Nothobranchius furzeri: one gene and its partner. The protein of the gene in region 2 purifies or fractionates together with the protein of the main gene of each other region. This does not show direct contact. Links are inferred from orthologs where the notes say so. Each region holds a gene or a part of one and is shown on either strand. Other genes may lie near its edges.

Evidence for each region.
Region 1: the proteins of dr1 (region 2) and kat2b purify together in Homo sapiens (affinity purification with mass spectrometry; 3 studies listed by BioGRID and IntAct, with this or other methods). This does not show direct contact. The link is inferred for Nothobranchius furzeri from reciprocal best matches to the Homo sapiens genes DR1 and KAT2B.

The regions. Positions count from the first base shown.
Region 1 is NC_091759.1:19,563,083-19,565,675, reverse strand, and holds the end of kat2b (histone acetyltransferase KAT2B), read right to left. Parts: coding exon 2,584-2,593; intron 2,498-2,583; coding exon 2,467-2,497; intron 2,385-2,466; coding exon 2,321-2,384; intron 2,247-2,320; coding exon 2,162-2,246; intron 1,661-2,161; coding exon 1,446-1,660; 3' UTR 1,412-1,445; intron 735-1,411; 3' UTR 635-734; downstream 1-634. UniProt on the Homo sapiens protein: Functions as a histone acetyltransferase (HAT) to promote transcriptional activation. Has significant histone acetyltransferase activity with core histones (H3 and H4), and also with nucleosome core particles.
Region 2 is NC_091756.1:58,161,679-58,164,608, reverse strand, and holds the end of dr1 (protein Dr1), read left to right. Parts: intron 1-1,334; coding exon 1,335-1,481; 3' UTR 1,482-2,406; downstream 2,407-2,930. UniProt on the Homo sapiens protein: The association of the DR1/DRAP1 heterodimer with TBP results in a functional repression of both activated and basal transcription of class II genes.

The sequences.
Region 1 (2,593 bases), on a different chromosome or scaffold from region 2:
CAAGAAAAAAAAATCATAATAAAAAGACAATGAACAAGTAAACTATTACGGCAAATGTAGTAATGGTCTACTTGTGAAAGTAAAACTGACATGTTTTTATGGTACTCAGATAACAATTCTGAATGCTTCACAGTAACATGAGACTTGAGTAAAAAATAATTCTAGTTTTATTATTATAGTTTGTGACTTTATTTGAAGATTATATGAACTACATATGAAAAATAAACATTCAAACAAATAAAATATCTGCACAATACAATTTGCTTTTTGTAGTCCACACACACACACACACACACACACACGTAAGCAAAATCACTTCACCAATTGTTTTGATATACTCACGACTTTCTTTAACCTTTTTACTGTGTTCCTTGTCGAGTATATTAGCCAATGTTGTATTAGCTTTCACAGCCCTCTGGTAGTCCCTCCACACTATCATTGAATCCTTATGCCTTTCAGACTTTGCATGTACTGAAAACCCCCTCCTCTCTCAGTTGCTTTTTTCCAGTTCCTAAATCCACATGGTGAGTCAAACACACTTCCTGCGCTACTTGGTGAGCTAAAATGTCTGCATGCATGACAATAGGTAGAGTCCATAGTAACAGAATATTCAACCCAAGGATGACTTTCATACCAGCTTGGCTGAAAGCTGCATCTTCTGTCTCCTATTAATGTCACTGGAAATGTCCTCAAATGATGCTGAGTAGGTGGGTCATCCTTGCACTTGCTGATATCTGAAAGAAAATAAATGTTAGCATGAGGATAAAAGTCATAATAAGTTAATTCAGAGTCTTATTTTATCTATTTATTAAATATAAACAACATAAATTTTGGTCCAGAGTCAGCATGCCTCAAATGCATTTTACACACAATATGAGCTGCAAACACAGAGGGGTTGTTCACCACAAACCTGACGGTAGTGTACACAGTGCAAATGACAGAAGATGTCCCTCTTTTTGCTCCTCACTCTCTCCCTCACAGCCTACATCTTCCTCCTCCTCACTCTCAGGGTGGACAGTCTGACCTCTCTGGTTCCTCTCCAACCAACTCCTCCTTCTCTCTTTCATCCTGCTTCTCAGCTCCCTCGTGACTTTCATCCTCTCTCTGTCTACGCTGTTCTTTATTAACAGCGGTAAAAAAGGACAAAATGACCCTTTTTCTTTTCATTGCCGCTGATGCTTCCAGTCAGTGCTGCGAGAAAGTCATAGATAAATGAATACTGTGATCTAATCTCAACGTGTCTAAGGCTTAAAATGCAGCAACTTCATGTTTATTTTACAGTTAATGTTACAAAGGAAAAACTAATCAGTGTTAACTGTGGATAGACTCAGTTAGGAACTTAAAAGTAAATGACAGAAACGCGCGACTAGATCAAAACACTGATGTCAGGAAAATAAACTGTATTGCTTACCTTCGTCTCTTAGCGTCTTTTCCGTTAGTCGTGCTCAAGAACTTCTTCGGGTCCCATTTAAACTATTTTTAATCTTGTATTCAAAAATCCACCGGGTAAACAGTTCTGTCCACAGAGTGTGCTGCGCTTTAAAGGCTCCGTGTGAAACGCTGCAGCGCATTAGTTCCCGTCTCCGAGGTGGCGCGGAAAAAAAAAATTCCGATCTCTTCAGCACAGGGGCCAGGGCCGGTTCTACAAGGGCCCATGCCCCTGTGGGCCCCCGTTTAAAACCGCCATTGGACATCAACCAGACAAAAAATAAGAAGTTATGGGCAAATATTAGTATTTTAAAGACTAAAGGGGAAAAATGTAAACAAATAAACAACATAATTACAAAATAACAAATTTTAGGCAAAATTTAGACACAAACTGAGGACAATATTTTCCTGATATACAGGGTTTATGTAGTTGTCTGAAAATGTAACACGTTTTAAAAAATACCGCGATAATACCGAAAACCGTGATAATTTTGGTCACAATAACCGTGAGGTTAAATTTTCACACCGTGACAACCCTAGACCTGACGTGCATCCAAACAAACCAGAGCACACTTATTACACAACACACGGCAGGATTATCTGATAAGATTGTCTTTAGAGCTGTAGACCCTCTGGTCATAAATCGAGATCACAAGAGTAAAGGTCTGAATACATACTAACTTGTATTGCTGTTTTTAAGAAGTTTGGCTTATCGTCTCCATCCGGTACTTACCCATGGGAAAGCGAATGACCTGGTAGTAACCAGGTGCCTCTGTTTTCTTCACAGGCTCCATGAAAGGCCAGGCGTTCTGGTGACTCTAAAATAAAGCTTGTGTGAGTTTGTGAGTGTTTATTTCAGACACAGCAGCTGACGAAAGGTCTGTTCCGTTACCTTCACATGCTGGAGGATGTTTTTTAGAGTGCTGTACAGCTGGTCCGGATCCTTCAATTCCTTCCTACAAGAAAAAACAACTCGGTTTGAGTTAAATCAAGGATATGAATAAACACATAAATGCTTCTAATGGAATCTTCTCTCACCCTTTTCCTGCTGGTTTCCAGCCCGTCTCACCTGTAAATACAATCAAATGAAGTTACATTCAACCTAAACGTAGACAAATAGTTATTCTGTCCTGGGTTCTGCGGAGGGTTACGTACGTATGCCAGG
Region 2 (2,930 bases):
TGTTTGTCTGGGAGGCGGAGGCTGCTTTACGGCATCTGGCTGTCGTGCGTGTCGGTGTACTTGAAGAAGGCTGTGTATAATAGTCCATAATATCGATACCACAGGGATGGAATATCTAATTTAGATACCACTTTTAGCATCGATTTATATCTGGGTATTGATTTTTTTGACAACTCTACTGCCTTCTCCAGGTCAGGGATGAGGTCCTGCCCCAAGTGGAGGAGTTTGAGTATCTTGGGGTCTTGTTCACGAGTGAGGGAAACATGGAGCGAGATCGACTGGTGGATTGGTGCTGCATCCGCAGTGATGCGGGCGCTATACCAGTCTGTTGTGGTGAAGATAGAGCTGAGCTGGAAGGCAAAGCTCTCAGTTTACCAATTGATCTATGTTCCTACCCTCACCTATGGTCACAAGCTTTGGTTAGTGACCAAAAGAATGAGATCGCGAATACAAGCAGCCAAAATGAGTTTTCTCCGCAGAGTGGCTGGACTGTCCCTTAGAGATAGGGTGAGAAGCTCGGTCATTCGGGAGGGGCTCGGCGTAGATCCTCTGCTCATCCACGTTGAGAGAAGCAGTTGAGTTGGTTCGGGTATCTGGTTAGGGTGCCTCCTGGCTGCCTCCCTGGTCAGGTTTTCCAGGCACATCCAACTGGGAGGAGACCCAGAGGAAGACCCAGGGCACGCTGGAGGGACTATGTCTCTCAGCTGGCCAGGGAACGCCTTGGGATTCCCCTGGAGGAGCTGGGGAGAAGGAAGTCTGGGCCTCTCTGCTTAGGCTGCTGCCCCCGCAACCCGAATCCAGATAAGCGGCTGAAAATAGATGGATAGATGGAAAATTATTGCTTTTCCTGATTTGTTTTTCTGTATAAAGAAAAAAAAAATCCTAACTAAAAGCTGAAATATAGGCCTGCACGATATTGATCAATATTGCTGTTTCACTGCGCCTAATATTATCTCAAAGGATTTTAATAAGTTGCTGACACTAACTTTTGACTATCAGAGGTTTCCACTCCCATAATGGCCCTCGATCAGCACACCATGTTCTGTATGAATCTTTATGAATGAACATGGAGTTTCTGTTGCTGCTGTTCATTCATTTATTTTTACTAAATCTGACCAGTAACTAAACTTAAACATTCTGCAAATTTACACCTTTACCTAAGCTTTGCTTTAAAGTAAACACTGAAATGTGGTTTCATTTTAGTTATAAAATGTTCTAACTGATCGTTATGTCATGTAAAACATCTCTTTGATGGCTTTACGTATGCACAGTCCTCAGGAAAAATAAAAAGCTCTTCTTGCTTCTCTCTGGTTCTGTGGGCCGCGTGGCTGCAGGCCCGGCAACAACAGGCAGAACTCGCCCAGCAGGAGTGGTTGCAGGTGCAGCAGGCTGCCCAGCAGGCACAGATGGCGGCCGCATCTGCCAGTGCAGCCCAGCAGGCTGGTTCCTCTCAGGATGAAGATGAGGAGGATGACCTGTGAACTCCGGATGTGGGTACATGTTCGGACTTTGTCCTGGGACACTGCTGGCACACGTATCTTCCAGCGTTCTCGTTGGCGGAGACGTCTTTGAGCGCTGAAAATAAGCACATTTGAAGAGAACAGTGAAAGAGGAATGGGCCCCATCCAGATCCTAGTTCCTGGAAACGATTTGGATTGAATGGCTGAGTTTTGTGTTAACCTTATGTTCCCCATATAAGTTACTTATGTGAAATGAGCTCTTTGATGTTCTGTTGTGATTGGATTTGTAGTTGTGAACACACTGAGAGCAGATACTGGGACGCGTCAGCGACTCAAGCGTCAAGTCTCTGCTCCTTCAGGTACATCACAGACGCCCAGTCCTCAGTCGGTGGTTTAGATGAACTCGTTTCTCTTTATTTGATTATTGGTGGTCACTTTTACAGGAAAGATTTTGTTTTCTCCCTTAGCATTTTTGTTCAGACAGTGAATTTGTTTGAGGCATTGTGAATATTGAATTTGTTTCGTTATGTAGAGAAATAAATAGACCTTTTTTTTTTATTTTAGCTTGTTCTGATATTTGTCATTTTGTTCTTCCTTAGAACCGCCCACAGTATTGGTAATTAGCTGCAAAGTTGAGCAAATTAAACTTTTATCTCATAGAACCAAAGATGGAGGACAGACTTACTGCTCAGACTTTGTTTTTAAAAGTGTAGGTGCTACCGTGATACTTACTGCTGACTCCAGATCAGTGTAAATGATGTGAGGAACCTTGTGAGATGCTTTTGTGTTCAGGCTGAAATGATTTCCATTTTCCTCTGGAGCAGTATCTAAATATCTTTATTGTGACTTTGGTCAGCCCTCAGCGTTAAAAAAAAACAAGTTGTGAAACAGTCATTTGTTATTCTACAAAGTTGTATTCTTTAAGCAATAAAGAAGTGTTTTTATAGGTCAGTGTTCCATGTTTGCTTTAAATACTCATAATAAATACTTTATTGTTTACATAGCTGAATGTGCTAACAGCACAATCACACAAAAATGATCAATGGAAATCAAATTTATCAACCCAAGAAGGTCACACTCAAAAGTAAAGTTGATACACACTACAGGCAAATCCACCTTTGATATAATGTAAATGCCCTGTATTTGATATAGTGCCTTCTAGAATAGTGATGGGAATTCCAGCTCTTTTTAGAGAGCCGGTTCTTTTGGCTCAGCTCACCAAAAAGAGCCGGCTCCCAAGTGGCTCCTCAGATTTTCTGTTGCGTAGAGTACATTTATAACCAAAATAATGCTAAACTATATGTAAAATAATTTACTAATGTAAAAAAAGCAATATATCAATTGTTTATAATTTCTATGGATTTAATAACTGAACACTTTAAGAAATCTCCACTTTCCGACTGCTGGCGCTCATTTTCTCACCGTCTTCGTCGCACTCTCCTCTCTCTCGCTCGCCTTTTCCCTCCTCCT